Linked DNA regions of Caenorhabditis elegans. The protein of the gene in region 1 purifies or fractionates together with the protein of each later gene. This does not show direct contact. Each region holds a gene or a part of one and is shown in the gene's direction. Other genes may lie near its edges.

Evidence for each region.
Region 2: the proteins of lap-2 (region 1) and agxt-1 fractionate together in Caenorhabditis elegans (co-fractionation; one large-scale study listed by BioGRID). This does not show direct contact.

What each region holds. Positions count from the first base shown.
Region 1 is NC_003283.11:13,041,614-13,047,217, forward strand, and holds lap-2 (Putative aminopeptidase W07G4.4), read left to right. Parts: upstream 1-2,098; 5' UTR 2,099-2,115; coding exon 2,116-2,280; intron 2,281-2,331; coding exon 2,332-2,486; intron 2,487-2,817; coding exon 2,818-2,986; intron 2,987-3,044; coding exon 3,045-3,971; intron 3,972-4,130; coding exon 4,131-4,283; 3' UTR 4,284-4,828; downstream 4,829-5,604. Other genes in the region: scyl-1 (Protein kinase domain-containing protein), read right to left, coding at 1-108.
Region 2 is NC_003280.10:8,843,413-8,849,471, forward strand, and holds agxt-1 (Alanine--glyoxylate aminotransferase), read left to right. Parts: upstream 1-2,185; 5' UTR 2,186-2,227; intron 2,228-2,817; 5' UTR 2,818-2,910; coding exon 2,911-2,967; intron 2,968-3,648; coding exon 3,649-3,807; intron 3,808-3,873; coding exon 3,874-3,952; intron 3,953-3,999; coding exon 4,000-4,108; intron 4,109-4,151; coding exon 4,152-4,350; intron 4,351-4,534; coding exon 4,535-4,662; intron 4,663-4,712; coding exon 4,713-4,808; intron 4,809-4,853; coding exon 4,854-5,112; intron 5,113-5,170; coding exon 5,171-5,295; intron 5,296-5,345; coding exon 5,346-5,352; 3' UTR 5,353-5,490; downstream 5,491-6,059. Other genes in the region: F46C5.6 (Serine/threonine-protein phosphatase 4 regulatory subunit 4), read right to left, coding at 151-216, 293-354, 401-607, 691-836, 1,027-1,074; oac-46 (Acyltransferase 3 domain-containing protein), read right to left, coding at 5,809-6,059.

The sequences.
Region 1 (5,604 bases):
ATTTCCGATCGAAACTCGATCGAAAAAGTGTTCTTCTGCTCCAGGAATGTCATATGGGAATTGGGACTTCGGATCCCGTTGGAAGAAGGATGACAACACCGATGCCATCCCTAAAAGTGATCGAAATTTATAAAATAATCTCTCCGTAAAATTGAAACGCTGGAAAACCGGTCGGGTTACGTGGAAATCGAATTTGAACACATTTAATAGAAAAAGGGGCAAGATTGTCACTACTGACGCATCGATTGCAGTTTCTCTGCGTCTCGTCTCTCTTTCACTCACTTTAAAAGATGAGAATAGACTCATTCTCGTTTATTTTGGCTTTGTTTTTCCTAGTTTCTCTGGTTTCTCAATGAATTTATATAAATCTTACCGAAAATAGTGAAATGCGATAGAACTGAAACATAATAATGTTTTATCAAATTACTAGAGCTTCAGTTTACATTTAGTTTTTCAGAATGTCTAGAAATGATCTGGTATTTAATGAAAAACATTGAAAGAGACAAAGAAAAATATATTCGAAAATGATTCAAAAGAATTTTAAAAACCAGTGACTGTACTTCTCGTGCCGATGCCCATCACTTTGGTCGCATCTGCGCCTTTAAAATCTACAGTACCCTTGCTCAAAATTCTTCGATAATTTTTTTAGCTCTCACTATTTAGTCAGCACTTTTCCTTTTTTTCCATATCTTTTAATGATTTTTCTCCTCGTATATATTAAATTCCTTCTATTTTTGATCGTTTGATCACAATAATGCTTCTGGAATGTCAGTCACAAAATAGTACACCTTCGAAAACGCGATAAAGGTGGGAAATTCCGTGATGACAACATTTTTTGGCTCGCAAATCAAGTTCTGCACAGCCCCGCGTGTAAGTGTGAATATTTGTGTGTATGTCTTACACCTGATAACACATTTCTCTGAAAACTGACGACCTAATCGCCTCCGGCCTGAACCAACATGCCCTATGGTGTCGAATGATGCAAAGCGCTCGAAAATTTATAGTTTCGAACTTTCATATTCCCATTTCTAATTCAAAAAATTTGCGGAATTTTTTCCCATACTCATTTTATAGAAAAAGACCAGAACGTCAACCAGTCTTCCGCTAAAATGTGTATAAACGGGTCAGTGTTTATCAATAGACAGCCCGAAAACTCACTCGACCAATACTGCTTTTTTCGAGATTTCTAAGCGGAAAATGGAAATCGATTTGTTGTCATGTGATGTTTGCTGCGAAACGTTCGCGAAAATTAATTGTTTCCGTTTCTATCAAAAGAACAAAATTCAATGTATCCGTTTCTATAATTACAAAAGAACGCATTGTTACAGAATAGGTTTTTTTGTCAATTTTGTATGCTTTGCAATCTTTTTGCGCTCAAATTTCTGATCATTTTACTGTGAGACCATTCTCTGATTCTTCCGCAAAATAAAAATTTCGACATCGACCTCGACGTTTATTTAAATAAGTTCTAATATCATTATTTTCATGACGTGTGCTCAGGTTTTCCTTGAAATCTAATTATAAGTCACATATTTCTCTAATTTCCTCTGGAAAAGTCTCGAAATTTGGCGCCATCAGGAAACCTACGTCAATTTCATTTTCTCCGAATCTCCGCCCACTTTCTATCATTTATAGCGACTAGTCGCTCCAAAAGTTTCAGTGTCTGCCGGTGATTTCAGTGCTCTCCCATGCTTGTACAAACACGCAATAAATTATAAATCAAATTAGCAGACAGCCGACTTGACGGCGTTTATCAGCCTGTCAGTCAGCCAGCTGAGAGAGTAGATGACATCGCAGATGTGTCCCTCCTTTTCCTTGTTTCAACATATGCTACTGATAAGCGTTAATTAAAGACGCACATCGTTTTTCATTTAATGATTTTTATTCCAGAATTGCGTGCACATGACTGAATTGAACTCTTTTCGTTCAATGAGCGCAGTATTTTCTATTTATGGCTTTATCGAAAAGAACTAGCCTGCCATCTCTTTTGCTCCTACAAACTTCATAACCACTTCTCTTCAAACCTTGAAACTCAATTTCTTATATATCCTCCTTCTTCCCGCCTTCATATTTCTCATTTTATTTATATCGCTTTCAGGGTATATTTCCTTTTCAATGTCACTTCAATCCCTCCTATCTACAAAAATAGTCCGCGCGACATCAATCGCCGACGCCGCTTTTGATGCTGTCGTGCTCGTCGGAAGTCAGGACAATGTTCAACAGTTCGGAGCGATCCAACAGGTCTCCGCAATCGCTCCAGCCGTTAACAATTTCTTAAAGGTTCGCCCTTTTCTCAATAATCTCTAATAATACCCTAATCTTCCTTTTCAGCTACACTCTGGTGCGTTCAACTCAACGTCTCTCGTTCAAGTCGACTCATCTGTCGTTCCATCTGGACGACTGATTCTATCAGGAACTGGAAATGTGTCACGTGACTATGATGATGTCCGTCGTTACCAGGCTGCTGCTCGGAAGGGAATTTCTATGTTAGTACTAATGTGCATCCAACATCATTTTGAAGCGTATTAATTAAATGACTACACCGTTTAAGCAAATAATAGAACAATTGGCTTAGATGATTTTAATTCTAAGAGCGCGCTAATTTATTAATTCTCGTAGTACTTGGAGAAAAAATGATAAGACTTTATGGAAGACAGTTATCAGAAAACGTGCGGAGGAAAGCATAGATCAGCATAACTGATTGTGGGGGCGAACTGCGTCATTTCCGTGAATAACACCATAGGTGCGGTTTGAACGTTGGTCTAGAATAACTGTCATATCTAATGATGTCAGTTTATAATTATTATCTATTTTCAGGGCTCTTTCTGCTGGTGTTAAATCTCCACTTCTCATCACACTTCCAAATTCTCGCTTCCCAAATGCCGAACTTGTTGCCGCACTCGGAGCTCTTACCCCAGTATACACTCCACTCAATGTTCGTGAAGAGGAGAACAAGCAGAAGTTGAATCAATTGGGATTATTGGCTGTAAGTTTCGAAATTTTCAGTTTTGGTAGAACAAATTTCAATTAATATATTTTTTCAGATCGGAAACAGTGACACATCTGCCCGTTTGGAAAAGCTTGTTGAAGCTTACGATGCTTCGTTCACAGTGTGCCGTGATGTTGGAGAGGCTGGACCAGAACGCATGGCTCCACCACGTGTAGCTGAGTATATCCAAGGTGCATTTGCAAATGGAAACATTAAAGTAACAGTCGTCGACGATCAGAGTGTCATTTTGAAAGATTTCCCATTGATGGCTGCTGTCAATAGAGCCGCCAATTGTGTCAAGGAGCATCAGGCTCGTCTTATTCGATTGGAATATGTTGGTGAAGGAGAGACTCAGGATACATTCTTCGTTGTTGGAAAGGGAGTTACCATTGATACTGGAGGCTGTGACTTGAAGACTGGAGGACACATGTTCGGAATGTGCCGTGACAAGTACGGATCTGCAGTTGTCGGTGGATTCTTCAAGGCTATCGATGTTCTGAAACCAAAGAACATTAAGGCTGTCGGGTACATGTGCATGGTTCGCAACAGTATTGGATCTCATGCTTATACTTGTGATGAGGTTATCACTTCCAGAAGTGGAAAGAGAATTCACATTTATAACACTGATGCTGAAGGAAGACTTACAATGCTTGACCCCCTCACTCTTGCCAAGGAAGAAGCTTTGAATGCTAAAAATCCGCATTTGTTCACTGTTGCCACATTGACCGGACACGAAGTTCTTTCATACGGATATTACGCAGCTATTATGGATAATGGTCCAGCTAAAGCAAGTGGATGGGCTCGTCGTGTGCAGAATGTCGGAGATGAATTTGGACAACCAATTGAGATCAGCAGACTTCATCCAGAGGATTTCGCTTTCCATATGGCCGAATGTGAACAGGCTGATCTTCGGCAGGGAAATACAAAGCCATCAGTTGCTACCCTCAGAGGTCATCAGACGCCAGCTGCATTCTTGCAAATGGTACGTTCTCAATTATGAAATTTGTCGTTTAAGTAAAATTTAAAAATTACTCAGAAAGCCAAAAAATATGAAATATGAATTTTCGTCCTTAAATTATAAACTAACAATTTCATTGATCAATTTTCTGTCTCTGGAATAAAATTTGAAACAATTTTTCAGGCTAGCCGCATTGACGAACATGGCACAAACAGTTCTCACCCATTGAAGTATTCTCATATCGACATGGGAGGATGTTCAGGAGATCATCCATCAGTTAGCTTCCCTAATCCACTTGTCACCCTTGTCGCCGGCCTTGTGCTTCCTCACGTTTAGAAATTTCCCGATTTTTCGTTAACCATTTTCTAATGCTCTCCCTACTCATTTTGGTGCTGTGCACCGATGTTTTCTGCCAGGCACACATATTTAGTTCAATACCGTATCTTTCAATTCCATACTGAAAAAGATATGATATCATATCTCTCTCTCTCTCTCTTTTATTTTAATTGCATCCCAACTTTATTTAGCCCTTATACAGGGAACCAGAGCTTGTTTCTTATCATTCGCCCCCGGAATCCTTCCTCCATTCTCACATGTAAAATAAATACGTTTGTCCAGAAAATCACAAACAACATGCACAACTGAATAGTTCCGGCTGAACAAAAGACTGGATTAGAAGTATAAATATCCAAATAGAGAAAAAAACTTATCAAACTTTTAGTTGTGTGTCCACTTCTTGTTTTATTATAGGCTCTTTGTCTTTTTTGTTTCTTATCTTTGTGCCGATAAAGAACTGAAACCAAAAGTGTCAATGGACTGTCAAAAACCACTTTTCAAGACCTTGTTTAGTGGCTCCACTTTGAATAAATAGCTGAAATTCCGAGTTTGTATTTTTTTCAAGAATTCAAAATTTTGTTATATTTACAGCTTTAGGGTGTGTAAGTGTTGACATTTCAAAACTTGTGCGAGAATTCTCAAGAGAATTTTAATTTTTTTTGTAGTTATTGCATTATAGTTTCAACGATTTTGGCATACTTTCTTAAAGGCGCACAGAGTTATTCAGATAGGTCTCGATGAGCAAAAAAGTTTATGGTAGTTTCTTTTAAAATGTTTATTTTGAAAAATTATTTAAAACAGTTTTAACAAAAGTAAAGAAAGGCATAAAATTCACCTTAAAAAACTTTATGCTTCAGATCGAGCTGAACATTATAATATGATCAATTCCAAGCCATATAAAAATGAAAATCCTAAGAGAAGAAATGAAAAAAACTTTAAAATTTACGACCAACCTTCGAACCTATCACCTCACCCATCAAAAAACAGGTTTATCTATCAATTTTCAATTTTAACACAGAGATCCCAAACCATTCACATGTTCTTCTTATTCAAGTCAGACCACCTCAATGGGTGTTACACTTTAGATTGTCCTTTTTATCTTTATAACCTTGTTCTCTTTTTGTATTCTTTATATCATTCGGCAACGAACGAATATTTTGCTCTCTTTTATTAATTTTGCGTTTTTTTCGCTAAAAATACGGTACACGGTCTCGAAACGACACATTTTTGTTAAATAAAAATTGTGTGCACCTTTAAAGAGTACTGTAATTTCAAATTTTTTTTTCCACTTAATTTTCATCGATTTTGCATAGTTTTTCAA
Region 2 (6,059 bases), on another chromosome or scaffold:
TAATTTATTTAGTGCGCAAGTTTTTTTTAGTTGTTAATGTTATAATTTTTATAGTTTTGTCAATGTCTAAAATGGTAATTCAAAAGAGTATTAGGTAAAAAGGTAAAGGTATTATTAAAAACAAATAAATTGTTAGTTGAGAATACATACAATGATGCATTTGATTGTTGATGCTACTGCCAGCTTTTATAACAATTTTTTCCTTTTCCTGAGTGTCTGGAAATGGTTAGGATAGAGGATAGAAGGGGAAAGGTGGAAAAACATGTACATACGATACTTGGAAAATACTTACGATGCTCTTTTTGATTTTGAATATTTTGAAGAATATTCTCGAGTAGAAGATCAACGATTCCCCTAGAAAGCTTGTTATTTTAAAGTAGTGGAATGTTTTAATACTCACTGAAATTTTTTCACGAGGTCCTCATTTTGAATAATTGACTTATAGACAACTGCAGCTTCACAGTGAAGGTCTAGGTTTGATTTTTCAATTTTCAAACATTTTTGAATTGCTGGTAGCATTTTTAGAAGGCACTTTTCTCCGTCGGAGGTGTCCAGAATGTCAGGAAATGTGCGAATTGATGTGAGCTTTTGAATTTCAGTTCCGTCTCTGAAAATTTTATGGTATGAACGATTTCCTTTTTTACAAAATGTCGAAAAATCAATTTTGATTTTTTAATTAATAAATCTTACTCTAAATTGATTAGAGCCTGATCCAATGGTGATCTTAGCAATTCCTCAAGATCTGGATCTTCTGCCATTTTGAATAGTTTTTCGAAATCCAACTTCATTACAGGAGGTTCTTTTTCTTCTGTCTCGTCATCTTCAATTTGATCATGCTGGAAAACAAAACGAATTCTATAAAATCTTTTCTGAAGAAATTTTGGTGTGAAAGCCGTTTTAAGTAGGCAACTACTGCAAAAATTTAGTATATTTTCCAATGCCTAATTTCATTACTCATTACTCATTTTCACAATCAAAAACTTAAATTTCTAAATCTCGTTTTTTATCATTACAATTATGCCTTACTTTAATATCAACTATAGATTCTCCATCCATTTCTGTGGCAGCGACCATTGAAATGTTGGAAAATGTGATTAGAATATCTGAAATTTTTCGAAAATCAATTTACAATAAGATGAGACAAAGAGCAACACGAGAGAGAGATAAGATAAACGAAAAAAGAAAAGAGTCAACAGTTTGAACGTCCCGCCTTTTTTTCGCATGATCCATCAAGAGGTAGGGGCAGCTCTTTAGATGCATTTTTGTTCGGCAAACAAATGAAACACATTTTCAAAATGGTTTGCGTTGGGCAAGAAAGTTTGAAAGTGTGGTTAGATATGACGAGTGATCTAGAATGATGCAGAAACAACATGATTCTTCAATAATACAAACTCTTTTTGCTTTGGAATGTAGAGGAGGTGGAGGAGAAGCAGGAAGAGGCAGCTGTGACTCCCGGGCGATGAGCAACTATCTCTATCCTCTCGAAACATTCAAAATGATTGGTGAGACGCAGACATCAAGTCGGTGTGTAAAGATATTCGGCCAAGAGGATCGGGATCGAAGGGCACGCTTGTGATCCAGTGTGAGAAGTTAAAAGCGAGGGAGGAGATGAAGAAATGAAGACGAAAAAGCTCAAAGGATGAAGCTGAAGAAAAAAAAGATAGAGAAAGATAGTGTTCACAGCAAAAACAGACACTGAAACCGGAGAGCTTCAAAGATCACGAGACATCACAAATTTGAGTTGACCTGTAATTGAATCCAACTCGATTTCGAAAAACCTGAGCAGTTTTCTTATTTTTATCAATAAAATGTGCAATTGTTCAAAACATTTCAAAATGTGCAATAAACTCGTGTGATCTGGAAAGTGTTCTTCACGAATCAGTACTTTCCGAATTCTCAAGGTATCTCCAGGCATACAAGTGAATTGGCTGAAAAACTCATTTATAGATTTGGGTAAAGAAAAATGTGAGGAGATTTCAGACGAAGCTAGGCGAAATTCAAGGAATAAGATGTAGAAGCTAAATTTGAAAATGTTCAGAAGTTAATATCTCAAAGCTTTATTATTTTTCCAAAGTTAACACAAACCAATGAACTTTTAAATATTAATTTCTAAATTTATTCATCGTATCAATTTCTGTAGACGTGAAATGCTATTTTCATGGAAATGAAACTAGAAAAAAAATTTATTCCGAAGTCTAAACTTCTCTGGATCTGCTCGTTGTTCGAGGTAAAGTTCAAATTAAACTCTCTTGAAGTTGGTAATCTTTCTCGATTTGTATTGTTTTGAGTAAGATAAGTTGGTAGTCCTTAAATTTTCTAGTTTCATTATTTGGTAGACAATTTTGAAAAATGTTTTAATGTTTTTTTGTAGCCATCTGACTAATTCCACGTCATTGATTAGACCACTTTAGTTCCCATTATAGCTTATTGTTCGCACTTTATTAAAATTTTAACTGATTTTTAAACTGTGTATTTAAAAAATTCCACTAGTTTTTTTCGGATGATCTCCTAAATCTTGAAACGTTATTTTCTAGATTAACGGAAATGTGCCAATGAACTATCCATAAAAATTATGCTCAAACCAAATTGCAAAAAAGTGTTGTTTTCCACTCAATTTCCATAAACTATAAAATAACCACGAGGTTTTCCCCAGTGCACTTTCAAGTGTTTCTTTGAACTCTTCTCTAAAAATTGACCGATCTCTGGGTGTCTTCTCGTTATCATTTATACCATCGACTGGTCATTTATACATTGTGATAAAATAGCCCCTCAGTCAGTCAGTCAGTCAGTGAAAATGAAAGAACAATGTACTTTGAGGAGTCACAGAGATATTTGCCGCCTGCAGGACAACCTCCTCAAGTTTTCTTCTCTACCTCAATATTCTTCCTCAATTGATTTAATTTCGAAGATATGATTTCAACGCGATTTCTAAGACCTTCAGTCTCGATTTTTGGATTTGGAATTAAGGTGAGTTCAATTGGTTCAAAAATAATAGGTTTATTGAGTACACAAATTGGAACCGCCTCTGAGAGTTTATTGTCATCATACATCAACATATGTGTTATCATTGATGAAACTGTTCATTGATACAATCTTTTTAGTTACTGCAATTATTTTATATTTATATGCCATTGTTCATTAAAAAAAGTTTTTGAAGGTTTTTTCCTTAAAAAAAATTATCTAACAGCATGAAAATTATGTCTTTCGAGTTCAAACTCTAAAATCATGTACTTGATTTTTACAGTATTTGGTGAAAAAAAAACCCACTTTGATTTATGGAAAATTTCTAACCATCTAGTATGCCGTTTGGCATTCGACCCTTCAACCCTTCTCCCCTAGACATCAAACCAATTCTTGACCATTTGGACACACCGTTCAATCTCCTCTTGACCAATTGGTTTCTCTGTGTCTCTACTCCATTCTACATGCAAATAGAGCGCATTTCATATTAGTTCCATGTCAGTACTGCGAAATGGAAAACATTTTAGTTAAATTTAAGATCAGTTTTTCGTTAATGTTTTGTTTTTAATAACATTTGTTTTGAGAACCACGTGTTGAACGACCTTTTAGTTATTATATTCTCAAATTATCACTTCCAAATCGATTACCATGTTCTTCGAGTATTTATGTATTTTACTTTTTTTCCAGTCATCAATGTCGTCTCGTGCTCCACCAAAAGCTCTTCTGCAAGATATGGTTGTCCCACCGCGGCAACTTTTTGGACCAGGACCATCGAACATGGCTGATTCGATTGCTGAGACCCAATCTCGCAATTTGTTAGGACACTTGCATCCAGAATTTGTTCAGGTATCTTTTTATGTTTTGTTGGAAAAATAGTAAATCGAAAACTAATTCATAAAGCTTTAATTTCAGATTATGGCAGATGTTCGTCTGGGTCTTCAGTATGTCTTCAAAACCGACAATAAGTATACGTTTGCTGTCAGTGGAACTGGTTAGTGTGCATATATCAACTTTCTCAATATCAAATCTAATATTCAGGTCATTCTGGAATGGAATGCGCGATGGTTAATCTTCTCGAGCCCGGGGACAAATTCCTTGTAGTAGAAATTGGACTTTGGGGACAAAGAGCTGCTGATTTGGCTAATAGGTTTTTAAAATCAATATTCTTGTTACAAATTAAAAATTGATAGAATGGGAATCGAAGTTAAGAAGATTACTGCTCCGCAGGGGCAAGCAGTTCCAGTTGAGGATATCAGAAAGGCAATTGCTGATTACAAACCAAATTTGGTTTTTGTCTGTCAGGGAGATAGTTCAACGGGAGTTGCTCAACCATTGGAAACAATTGGAGATGCTTGCAGAGAGCATGGTGCTCTGTTCCTTGTTGATACGGTTTGTGGTTTTTTTTAACTTTCTCGATCCTCACCATTTATTTATAAATCTTACAATGTTTCAAAAATTAACGGTTTTGTTTCTGAAAAGTTTAAGGTGTTTTTTAATGTAGTAAAATTGAAATTTGCCGAACGAGTCTCAAAATTGAAAATAGATGTTTAATGATCAAAGTTTTCATTTTCAGGTGGCGTCCCTCGGTGGAACTCCATTTGCAGCAGATGATCTGAAAGTTGATTGTGTCTATTCGGCAACCCAGAAAGTTCTCAACGCTCCACCAGGACTTGCGCCTATCTCATTCTCCGATCGAGCCATGTAAGAATAAGAAACAAAACACATATAGTTGCATTCCTCTTCATTTTTAGGGAAAAAATCCGGAACCGAAAACAACGCGTCGCCTCGTTCTACTTTGATGCCATCGAATTGGGCAACTATTGGGGTTGTGATGGAGAATTGAAAAGGTTGGAAAAAACTATGAAATGATGAAATTTATTGAAAAATTTCAGATATCACCACACTGCTCCAATCTCCACTGTATATGCTCTTCGTGCAGCACTTTCTGCAATTGCAAAAGAAGGAATTGATGAATCAATCCAAAGACATAAAGATAATGCTCAAGTGTTGTATGCTACTCTGAAAAAGCATGGATTGGAACCATTTGTAGTGGATGAGAAATTGAGATTGCCATGTTTGACTACTGTGAAAGTACCGGAGGGTGTTGACTGGAAAGATGTTGCTGGAAAAATGATGACAAATGGAACGGAGGTAAATTCGAAAATCCACCAATTTGAAGTTTGAAAACCGTAACTTGTTTTAATTTTAGATTGCTGGAGGACTTGGTGCAACTGTTGGTAAAATCTGGAGAATCGGAACGTTTGGAATTAACTCGAATTCGACAAAAATCGAAAATGTTGTGGAACTTTTGTCGAAATCAATTGGAGAGAAAAGGTCAAAAATTTAATTGATCCGTTTCCTTATCAAATTATTTATATTTTCAGCAAGTAGATCCATCAGTCGTAGATCCATCAATTTGTGATTTCATGCTAATTTATGATTTATTGTAATTTCGTATGCGTTTTGTATGAACATTTTAAATTTATTTAATGTTTTTATGGGTTTTAATTTGAATGAACAAAAAACAAGAATTTCTATTTACATGATAAAAATAGAAGAAGCGAAGGAAAAACAGTCGATGACCGGGGGAATAATCAATTACTGAAAGACCATCAAGAAAGAAGAACAGAAAAATTTCAACTAATCTAAAAGAAATGTAAAGCAAATGAAAGAGGAGCTAACAAATGAAAAAGTGAATGGCGGAATGAAATGAAACAATTTAAGAAATGAATGAGACTACTCGTAATGAATTCGGGTTGACAAGGAAATGATCACCCACTATTTACCTCAAATGTCCCGTGCCTGATGAAAATGAATTTTTGAGTCAAAAATTAAAACAATTAGAAATTAAGCCTTATCGGAAGGCTTTAATTGAATTTCCGAATCTGTTGGTGGACTCGGTTTGAGTGTAGTTTTTGGTGGAGAGGCAAGCAATAACCTTTCGATATTCAGAGCTGGAAGTTCACTGACCATTGTGCATATTATGGCAAAGAAATATGTAATGAGAAGTTGAACAAAACAATGAATGAAGAGTGGAATTTGAGTATTGAAATATATTGGGAAGGGAACGAGCATGTAAGTGAGTACCACTGGAATCA